Linked DNA regions of Arabidopsis thaliana. The protein of the gene in region 1 purifies or fractionates together with the protein of each later gene. This does not show direct contact. Each region holds a gene or a part of one and is shown in the gene's direction. Other genes may lie near its edges.

Region 1 (3,755 bases):
GGTACGTAAGACACAAACAAAAGTACGAGTCGTACGTGTTATCCATCAAACTATAACTTACGAGTGTTTATTTCACATTTATAGTCTTCAAATAGGTAAACACGGATTCACTTTTTGTTTAAGCCCACGATTTACATTTGTACTTGTGTTGCCGATAAAAATAAAATATTATTTTAATGGTTTTGAAAGCGTTTTTGGTTACTATAGTAGATCTTAAGTGTTTTTTGTATTTCACTTATTTCATTACATGGAAAATATAGTTCTCTTCTTTTTATTTGTTCTAATCATGAGACATCAACATCGCCTTTCAGTATCTTATTTTGGTCACAAAAGTCTATCTACCATTTGAAAATCATTGTCAAGAGTCTATCTAGTTATTCTATGTCCAAAAATATTATTACTTCACTTTCAAGTCGTCTGCACAAACTAAATTTTATATGAGGTTTTTTTTTTGAACACAAAATTGTGTATGAGCTTAAACTACACTACACACGTGCATAATAGCGATTAAGACACATATTATAAGGATTATCTGGGTGTAGAAGTTCAGAATTTGGGATTACGAGAATTGCAATAAATTGTTTACAGATTAAAATTTAACGAAAGGAAATTAAAATAAAAGTAAAACAGCTTAAGATCAAAGCTGATTTGATGAATTGATACTTTTGAAGATATGACCATCTTCATATAAAGTCTGAAATGCAATATATGCATCACGCATTATCCAAATAGAAAACGACCACCACTTTAATTTCAAGATATAAAACCAATACCTAAAATGAAGAAAATTTATATATGCATGTGCATCTGTAATATATAATCAACCATTAATTATCTATATATAATTACGATTCACCAATATTAATTACATAATCTCAAACGTTATACGTACGTATTATTTAGGGTTGAAAACAAAACAAAATGTCATGCGTATATGAACTATACATATGCGTCATTAGCTCGTTCTTCAATCTAGGTTTAATATGAAAAATAATTTTTTCTTCATAAATATCTTTTTCTTGGAGCATTGTTTTTTTTTTCTTTTTTCTTTTTTTCTTGGAGCATTGTATTTGTATGAGAGTTCGCTTTCATCTTTGGATCCTAAGAATATAACTTTTATGCAAATAGAAAGGACACAGCTATTGTGCTTAGGATGGTACCCTCATCGTCCTATCTTTAGACATTAAAAATAAAATACCATTGATTTTGACCTTAGGTATATAATTTGTATATCGAACCCGTGGAGGTCGCATTTGCAACGTGAATCCATAACGATATACCAACAGATAAACCATATCTCTAATTGTCAATGAAATGTACAAACATATATCCCTTATTCTTTCATCTTAGAACATATTTTTAGGATCTCTTGAACGGTTGATTTTGTTTGTTGTGATCGAGGATATGTTGTTAATTGTTATTTGATTGTTGGTGAGTATGGAGTGTTGGTGGGTAATGGGTATAAGATAGGCGATTAAGATGCAAAGAACAAACCTACCTCGGTCTCATTCGATATTTGTGCTCGTTCTTTAGATTAAAACATAGTCGCAACAACATATAACAAAAAAAAATCTGTAACAAAACAATGGGTTTGTTTTATAATCTAATGAGTAAATGTACATGAATCAACCAAAATTACTGAATGCCCAATTTTAGTTCAACATGAGTTAAAACAGATTTTAAAACTAATATAAAACGTCGTCAATTTCAAATTCTAATGGTTGGATCGATTTAAAAGCCCAAATATAAGAAGGTGATCGTTAAAGGCCCAATTAAATTGAATCCCTAATATATCAAGTGAGAGTGTTAATCGTCGTCTCTCTCTTCAACCATTTCCCGGCTTCCGCGTTTTTGCTTTGTAGCGCCGGACCGGAGAAGATAAAACCCTTGCTCCGCCCCACTCACAGGAAGTTCTACATCGACCTGAGTTCTCGTACTTCGTCGTATCACTCGTTCTTCCTACGATGAACTGTGCAAGTAAAGCTTTCAGTCGTCTCTCTCTATTTTTTCTCAATATGCCGATTTAGGGTTTTCTTATGGTTGATGTTGGTGGCGGCACTGTGTTCTTTCAGTTTCAGGAGAAGTTCCCGTGGAGCCAGTGGTTTCGACGAAGTCAGGATTACTCTTCGAGAGACGACTAATCGAAAGACATATATCGGTAAGCTTTGAGCTGAATTAAGCACTGCCAAGTACTTTTACCGTCTTGTTTTTTTTGTTCTCACTGGAAGGATTTCTCGTAATTTGAGTGATGTTGTTTGGTTTACTTCGGATGATTCTTGTAGCACTGTGAAATTATCGAGAAATTCTTTTGGGCACCAATGAGATCCGATCTCCAGTGAGAGCTCTTTTAGATTATCACGCCACTTGGAAATGAATGATTTCTTCTAAATTATTTTCCTCTGTAGGATTATGGGAAGTGCCCGGTTACTGGCGAACCACTTACCATTGATGACATTGTTCCCATCAAAACTGGGGAGGTAGTGTAATCTCTTTAACTATTTGATGCAAAGTACTGTTGACGATATTTGTTTGAGATTTTTTAATGTAATTGTCAATTGTGTAGATCATAAAGCCGAAAACATTGCATACAGCTAGTATCCCTGGATTGCTCGGAACGTTCCAGAATGTAAGCTTTAATTGTTCTTTTGCAAATTTGTTCCTACCTTTTCTCTTGGATTTATGCTTGTTTTCTTAATGGGAAGTTCACTAAGAAATGTCACAATGTTTTATGTTATTGGTCATGTAGAGTTTGGTTGATTGACTTAAAATAAATTTTCCAAGGTTGTTTCTTAAATGTATACAAGATTCGTTTAACTGAACACATTGGCCTCTTCTCTTTAGTAACATTATTACGCGGATCACCTGCTCCTTTTCTGAGTGCTAATCAACATAAATTGTTCATTTTTTTGGGATGAATTATTCGAAGTAATTGCGTGAGAAGTTTAGCTGCTTTGCATTTTTTAGGAATGGGACGGTTTGATGCTATCAAATTTTGCACTGGAGCAACAACTACATACTGCAAGGCAAGAGCTAAGTCATGCCTTGTATCAGGTAATTTTGGCTGTGTGTTTCTGTCACCAGTTTATGAGGTGCCATGGTCAATAAATTTGTTTTATGCACCCTAGATTTATTTTCCTCACTCATTTCATCTTTTAGTGTGTTTAGTCTACTGATGGGACTGTTTTACCTTCTGTTTGCAGCATGATTCTGCTTGTCGTGTGATTGCTAGACTTAAAAAAGAAAGAGACGAAGCACGCCAATTACTGGCCGAGGTTGAGAGACATATACCTGCGGCCCCTGAAGCTGTGACAGCTAATGCTGCTCTGAGTAATGGTAAACGAGGTATGATTGTACACTTTTTACTCAAAATATATTGGCTAGTTATTTTTTCCTCTTGTAACATGTCACTATACTCTTTTGTTGTATAATAGCTGCCGTTGACGAGGAACTGGGTCCTGATGCAAAGAAATTGTGTCCTGGAATTTCAGCTGAAATTATTACGGAATTGACTGATTGTAATGCTGCTCTTTCCCAGAAGCGAAAAAAGCGACAGGTACTGCACATAGACTCGTATCTATCTTTGAATATGCATTTGAATGTTAGAAGGCAAGACCTGACGACTTGCTACGTTTATGTATTTTTTCTTGTTTGTAGAGGCATGTGATTTATACTCACTATATCTATTTAGATCCTAGTATTCGGTTTGAAACTTAACTAAAAAAATGTTGCCCTCCTGCCTAGTCTTGTGATTTTTT
Region 2 (3,646 bases), on another chromosome or scaffold:
CTCTAGATTCCCGACAAGGTTGATACATTGGCGTAAATCGAGGTGTTCCAGGTGAGGACAACCGTCAAGAATGGCGTTTAAGCCTGTTTTGGTTAGTTTGTTCCCACAAAGCTGGAGATGGCGTAGTTTAGGCATGCTTTCTGCAATTGCTATGGCATCATGATCATCATCATCCGAACTTAAGTAAAAGAGGCGGTTTAGCATCAATGTCTTCAGATTTGGACAAGACAGCCCTGCAAGTTTCATAGACTCTCCTGACAATGATATTCCTGAAACCTCAAGCTCTTCAAGCATTGGAAGTTTCACAACTGCTTGAACAAATCCATCGTCTGTTATTTCTGAGCACATTAGTCTAAGGCTTCTAAGATTACTTGACCTACAAGTAATGGTGTGTAAAAAGTTATAAATCATAATCTTGAGATATCTGTTTTTAACAGACACTTGAAGACTTACATGAAAAGTAATCAAAAGTCAAAACTAGAATTAGAGGAGAACCTCTCCGCGATGTATGTAAGGAGAGAATCACTCCCGAAGTCCCCAATGTTGATCTCCAGCAAGCCACCCTCGCTACGATCAACGGCGTTACGACATATCGCCTCAGGATTGTTCACCAGTACTGGTTTGTTGTAACTCAAGATTCGCATGTCGATTTTACGCCATATGGATGGGTCTTTACAAACATATCGTCACGATCTACACACTTTCTGAGCGTTCTCCAGTATCTCAGTCACGCTAAGACGTAGCAGAATCAAACACATCAAATCCGTCGGAAGATCCGCCCAGTTTTTTGGCTCTTCGTTTTTCATCAGTGAAGACAGCGGATCCATTTCTGATGAGGATCAAAATGTCAAATCTGTGAAATATATATATCAGAAAGTCATTTAGTTTTAGGCCTTCTTTGATTATTTGTAGATTCTAAGTAGTTTTTGGTTTTAGTTTTAGGCCTTGAATGGTAGTAGATTCTAAAATGGTTTCTAGTTTGCATAAAAAAGTTTCCTGAAAAGCTAAGAAATCTAAATTTTTAATTTTTTATTAATTAATGAAAAGCAAAAAAAAAAAATCTATTTATGCAAACTAGACACCATTTTAGAATTTACAATCATTCAAGGCCTTAATTGTTTATTAACTAATGAAAAAAAAATCAATTTTATGAGTTTTTTGTCCAACTTCGTGTGATTTTTTTTCCTCTTCTTGTTTTGTTTAAACTAATGATTGTTTTGGACTTTAAAGTCAGAAGGCATCTCTGATTACTTGATCTGCAATATAAAGTTATAACAATAAGATGCAAAATTTTACAATCTAGTCCTTATGGCACTAAGTTTACGAAAACAATTCATGTCTAATAAGCCCATTACCTGAATTAATTATTGGGCCTTAAGCTCCTAATATTCTGACCTTTTGTATTTCAAAATCATGTATTCCTTGCATAACAAGAAATCTGATGGTGGTGATTCGATAAAAAGAGTTCGATAGGATCTGAAATCTTCCTACAAGAAGTAAACTGTTTAACAGAATTTGTTAAATGTAATAAATAAAAACTTTTCCATATTTATCGGAAAAATAAATGGAACCTTTCCAGCTTTCCTATACCAACTCCAAATTCCAATAGATAAACATTCTTAAACCCTAGCAGGGGCTCGATAAAAACTAAAAAATAAAAAAACCAAACACGAAAGCTGCAAACATCGATTAACATCAACCTTCTCTTTGTTGCTTTCGCTCTCGCTCTATAGCAAAGATGAAACCTCCCCAAAGAGGTTAGAACCCTAGCAGCCGTTTTGTTTTACTACTTGTTTAATTTCTCTGTTCGACCTATAGTATAGGGTTGAGGGTTGTTAACTCCAAATTCGTTTTGTCACAATATATCTACCTGAATTGCTTGTTACGTAAACTGTTTTGAGTCTTCACTTCTTCAATCCAAGTTTAATAGGAGATTTAATAATACTCTCTTCTGATTAGTTAATTTCGGTTTTATCTGTATGATTATGCTCAGGACGTGGTGGTGGTGTTAGAGGTGGAAGAGGTTTAGCCAGAGGCGGTGAAGGAAGTGCCGTAAGAGGCAGTGGAAGAGGCGGCGAAAGTGGCCGTGGAAGAGGGCCTGGAAGAGTTAAAAGTGAATCGGACGGTGGAATTAAGGGAGGAAGCAAAGTGTTAGTGACACCACACAGGCACGCAGGAGTGTTTGTTGCCAAAAGTAAAGCAGATGCTCTTGTAACCAAGAACTTAGTTCCTGGTGAAATCATTTACAATGAGAAGAGAATCTTTGTTCAGAACGAAGACCGATCTACTGTTGAATACAGAGTTTGGAACCCTCATAGATCTAAGTTAGCTGATGCTATTACCACTGGTGTTGATAACATTTGGATCGTAAGTCCCATAACTTAAAGTAACAATCTCTTTTATTCTTCTGTTACCGAAACTAATGAATACTTGTTTCTTGAAATTGTAGAAACCTGGTGTTAAAGTTCTGTACCTTGGTGCTTCTTCTGGATACACCGTGTCTCATGTCTCTGACATTGTTGGTCCAGTAAGTGAACACTAAACCTTAAACCCTAACTTTTAAGATTGAGTGAGTGTTTTCTCTCTATGTTACTTATATCTAGCTTTTCTGATTGGTAGGAGGGATGTGTTTACGCTGTTGAGCATTCTGATATTTGTGGTAAAGTTTTGATGAACATGGCGGAGAAGAGAACTAATGTTATACCAATCATTGAAGATGCTAGACATCCTGCTAAATATAGAATGCTTGTGGGAATGGTTGATATCATATTCTCTGATGTTAATCACCCTGAGCAAGCTAACATATTAAGTCTCAATGCTTCTTATTTCCTCAAATCTGGAGGGCACTTTATGATCTCTATAAAGGTTTGTAACAAAACTTTTTTGACCATTGATTCAAATCAAAATCATTCTCTTTTTAGTGTGCATTGTTTGGTTAACTCTAAGTTACTTGTTTCAGGCGAATTCTATAGACTCAACAATTGCAGCAGAAACTGTGTATCAGATGGAAGTGGAGAAGTTACAAATGGAAGAGTTGAGACCAACAGAGATATTGCATCTTGACTCTTGTGAGGAAAAGCATGCTTGTGTTTTTGGTGGATATCGCTTGCCTAGGAAGTAAAAAGCTGATACTGCTATCTAATTAGGAAGCTGATACTCTTTACTTAGTTTGTGATTGTTAAAATTCATACACATTCATGAGGCTTTAAAATTATTATTTTTCTCTGATTCTCACTGTGATTTGTCTTCTAACTAGTATGAGTTTTAAGAAGTTGAGTTTTGCAAAAACAAAAGGTAGAATACACATACATTTTGAGTTGAATTCTAGTATTTATATTTTGGTTTGTTTTATCGAACGTGGAACTAACACAACGTTACATTGAAGAATCATTCATTGTGATTTGAGATTTTCAATGTGATTTTAAAAGTTTGTTATCGATAATATGATTTTGTGGAAGTGTAATTTCAAATTTGTAGACAGAAAGTGAAACTCTGCTTGTTCATCAATTTATGTTTCCTTAGACATAATTGATAAATACATTGTTTTGTGTTTATGACAAAGAGAAGACGATAATTAGCTGAAAATAATCACATTATTCAAATATGTTCCAAAGAATAAAATTTTTGCACTATTTGCTATTTTCAG
Region 3 (3,755 bases), on another chromosome or scaffold:
AAATGTTATGCATCAAAGAAACAATGTGTCCAATATGTTCAAAGAAGTTAGAATATGTTCCCATATAGATGTGGTTTTGCACCAAATGGTAAGAGAATATACATTCTTCATTTAAACACAAGCGTAGACGTTGTTGAAACTCTAGGCATAGACTTTAAGACCGTTTCTATCACCTCTCTCTCTTCAAGATGGAAGGTTGATATCTCTCTCTTCAAGATTGAAGATTGAAAATGTTCCCATATAGATGTGACTGTCACTTTCTTTAAACACTTTGCATTAGCAAAAATGTATCTTATGAGCTGTGTCTCTTCTTCGTTTCCTCTATATCCATGCCACACAAACTCCTCATCTAAATGAGCCGACAAGCATCTGGGAACAGTACCTTGGTTGGTACCATGACAATGGGAGATTTCCGGGTCGATATCCACTTACCTGGATGCAAGTACATAAAAATCTATGAGGTGGAATCAAAGAATCAGTTTATACAACAAGGAGATTGCGTTGTTACTTGTTACTTACAGAAGTGATAGCAAGAAATCTTAGTTTAGGAGAGTTGTTGAGAATTAGTGGAATTATATCCAACCAGAGATGGCCATGTGGACATATCACTAATTTTCCAAGTCGAGTGAAGGTAAAGCCACGAAAATCCAGAGCCTTCAATGACTAAATCAAAAGCCAATATAAATCAATGTGATCAAACCTAACAGCCAAGAAGAAAAAAAACAATAATAATAAAAAGGATAGATACCATTGGATCTTCCAAAGGTAACACAAGATACGTGACCAAGGAAATAGCTTTGAGAAACTTGTCATCAGTATGACATACAACGTCGATATGTGGCTTTTCAAGGCGAAGCTTATGCACCTTCGCGAAACGGTAGTCCCGGTTATCACTGATGGCGAGGCCCACTTTCGATCGGGCAAGAACTGAGCAACTTGATATAAGCCTCTCTAGAGAATTTTCATCTTTGAACACCACATAAAAAAGGCGTAATATGTTGAGTGACGGGAGGCAAACCGAAGAAGGAACATCCACTATAATCTTGTCCGAAAGAGTCAATTCCACAAGTGTTTTGCATGTGTAAAGACTCTTAGGCAAGCTGGTAGGCTCTGCCGTCCAGTGGAGCTCTAACTCTAGCTTGCGCACAAAGCGATCAACTGCATTTGCAACTAATTTCCCAACATCTACCTCAATAGAAAATTTTTACCGAGTTGGATGCACAAAGTTTCTAGAAAAGGTGCCTTGTGAAGTTCCAATAACTTTTCAAGAAACTTCCACACGCTTTCGCATTCATCACCAGGATCACTGTACTCGAGTTTAGGCAACAACGTCCAGACATAACGCCATCGTTTTGACAATATCATTGTCCCAACTGCATCTTTGATCGGTACAAGCAACAAAATCTGGATAAGCAAATCGTCGGGCAACGAACTGATCTCGTCTCTAGAAGCAACAACCTCTTCATCAATTCTTTGACAACGTTCGGCCATTAGTGATGTAATAGCTAGCTGAGTTTGTGATAAAGATTTCAAATATAGGTAAGCAGAGACGAGGAGGAGCAAGTCGAACCCTAAAAACTTTAGATGATCGAGAACCTTAGATATATTCGTAATTTCTCTATGAGAAATTGAGAATAAGTGAATAACTAACTCTTCTTGTCTCACAAAAATAAAACCCTAACTTATCTTTTCCGTGAGACATAAACAAACCCACTTTGGGCCAATAAAATCGGCCCATTATTATCTTGACCCAATCCGGATCAAACCCAACTCCATACTTTGGAGTTTGGACCCATCGTTACCAATGTAGTAGACTAATGTAGTTAAGATATATATAATAGAAGGGCCTATTTATAAAATACAAGAAATGTTACCAAAGCATAAACCCTAAAAGCCCTAAAATCTTAATATATAAACCAACTCACAGAGACTCTAAAATCAGCCACCACCGCACATCTCTCTCCTTTGCCCTCGTTTTTTTTCGGTTCTCGTCTTTCGTTCTTCACTTTTAGACAAGCAAATATGAGACCCCCAGTTACAGGTAAGAACCTTAGTTAAAGTTTATGTCTTTCTTGTTCTGTCTGCCTCTAGAGTATAACCCTGTCCGTATCAAATCTGAATTCGTATCATTACGGTTTCTGTAGTTTGAATTGGTAGTTAGGGTTTTAATTCATGAGCCTTTTGTATCTTCACTGTTTCAATAAAGTTCAAAGATAAAAGTAGAGATTTTTAATAACACTCTGTTCTTCCGTTTAGTTAATTTTCTGTATGTTGGTATTGTTATAATCAGGAGGACGTGGTGGTGGAGGATTCAGAGGTGGAAGAGATGGTGGTGGAAGAGGTTTTGGAGGTGGAAGAAGCTTTGGAGGAGGCCGTAGTGGTGACAGAGGCCGTAGTGGGCCTCGCGGCAGAGGACGTGGTGCGCCTCGTGGTCGTGGAGGACCACCTCGTGGAGGAATGAAAGGAGGAAGCAAAGTGATTGTTGAGCCTCACAGACATGCGGGAGTGTTTATTGCTAAGGGTAAAGAAGATGCTCTTGTCACTAAGAATTTGGTTCCTGGTGAAGCTGTTTACAATGAGAAGAGAATCTCTGTTCAGGTATGAAGTTTGAGGATTGTTTTCTTTATAATTAAATTGAGTTTGTTTTTGTTCTTATATTATAGCTACTTCACTTTTGCAGAATGAAGATGGAACTAAGGTTGAATACAGAGTTTGGAATCCGTTTAGATCTAAGTTAGCTGCTGCAATTCTTGGTGGTGTCGACAACATTTGGATCGTAAGTCCATCTATACACATACCACATTGACTCTGTTTTCTTTTTTTGTATTGAAAGACATGTGCTTGAATTGGTTCTTTGTTAAAACTTTTGTAGAAACCTGGTGCCAAAGTTCTTTACTTGGGTGCTGCTTCTGGGACCACTGTCTCTCATGTTTCTGACCTCGTTGGCCCTGTAAGTCTTTCACTAAATTATTATTTTAGTTATCCGTAGGTCCATTTCTATCCTATGTTTGAGACTTATCTTTGTTCTATTGCTTTATGATTTGTAGGAGGGATGTGTTTATGCTGTTGAGTTTTCTCATAGAAGTGGTAGAGATTTGGTGAACATGGCCAAGAAGAGAACTAACGTTATTCCAATCATTGAAGATGCTAGACATCCGGCTAAGTACAGAATGCTCGTGGGCATGGTTGATGTCATATTCTCTGATGTTGCTCAGCCAGATCAGGTTTGGTTCTATATTTCTTACTATGAAAGTTTGAAGTTACCCTTTCTACAGTTTTATTCACAAAGGTTACGTCATATTGCATTGCATCTTTTGCTTTTAAAATATCAGTTCATTGAAATCGGCATATGATGACATTTCATTTACTATGAAATGTTTGAAGCCTTTTTATTTTACAGTTATATCTTCAAAGTTTTTTTTTATTGCATTGCATCTTTTGCTTTTAAAAAAATCAGTACAATGAAATCGGCAGATGATGATTTTACTTGGATTCCCCTTCAGAACATTTATGGGTGTTGCAAACTCCAAGCTTCTGATGCTACTTTGTATCTTTTTACTAAAATTTTTTACTTTGAACATGCAAATCTGTTTTAATCTCAAAGTTTTTATTTGTCTTCATTTGGTATATCTTATCGATTTGGAAGAAGTCTTTTCGGTTTCTTCTGGTTTTCAACAATTGCATTTTCAAGTCATTTAGAAGTTTTACTTTATTACTAAACTTGGAGACTCAATTGTTGTAGCAATATTGCTGAG

The links.
Region 2: the proteins of MAC3B (region 1) and AT5G52490 fractionate together in Arabidopsis thaliana (co-fractionation; one large-scale study listed by BioGRID). This does not show direct contact.
Region 3: the proteins of MAC3B (region 1) and FIB1 fractionate together in Arabidopsis thaliana (co-fractionation; one large-scale study listed by BioGRID). This does not show direct contact.

The regions. Positions count from the first base shown.
Region 1 is NC_003071.7:14,129,210-14,132,964, reverse strand, and holds the start of MAC3B (MOS4-associated complex 3B), read left to right. Parts: upstream 1-1,740; 5' UTR 1,741-1,964; coding exon 1,965-1,977; intron 1,978-2,072; coding exon 2,073-2,158; intron 2,159-2,405; coding exon 2,406-2,477; intron 2,478-2,563; coding exon 2,564-2,626; intron 2,627-2,964; coding exon 2,965-3,051; intron 3,052-3,200; coding exon 3,201-3,342; intron 3,343-3,431; coding exon 3,432-3,553; intron 3,554-3,755. UniProt on the Arabidopsis thaliana protein: Probable ubiquitin-protein ligase which is mainly involved pre-mRNA splicing and DNA repair. Component of the MAC complex that probably regulates defense responses through transcriptional control and thereby is essential for plant innate immunity.
Region 2 is NC_003076.8:21,297,119-21,300,764, forward strand, and holds AT5G52490 (Fibrillarin family protein), read left to right. Parts: upstream 1-1,738; coding exon 1,739-1,757; intron 1,758-1,993; coding exon 1,994-2,367; intron 2,368-2,449; coding exon 2,450-2,527; intron 2,528-2,619; coding exon 2,620-2,865; intron 2,866-2,959; coding exon 2,960-3,121; downstream 3,122-3,646. Other genes in the region: AT5G52480 (RNI-like superfamily protein), read right to left, coding at 1-376, 496-644. UniProt on the Arabidopsis thaliana protein: S-adenosyl-L-methionine-dependent methyltransferase that has the ability to methylate both RNAs and proteins. Involved in pre-rRNA processing.
Region 3 is NC_003076.8:21,292,268-21,296,022, forward strand, and holds the start of FIB1 (fibrillarin 1), read left to right. Parts: upstream 1-1,879; 5' UTR 1,880-2,022; coding exon 2,023-2,041; intron 2,042-2,290; coding exon 2,291-2,598; intron 2,599-2,680; coding exon 2,681-2,776; intron 2,777-2,872; coding exon 2,873-2,950; intron 2,951-3,047; coding exon 3,048-3,224; intron 3,225-3,468; exon of another isoform or gene 3,469-3,542; intron 3,543-3,755. Other genes in the region: EDA41 (FBD, F-box and Leucine Rich Repeat domains containing protein), read right to left, coding at 108-427, 516-654, 749-1,189, 1,282-1,491. UniProt on the Arabidopsis thaliana protein: S-adenosyl-L-methionine-dependent methyltransferase that has the ability to methylate both RNAs and proteins. Involved in pre-rRNA processing.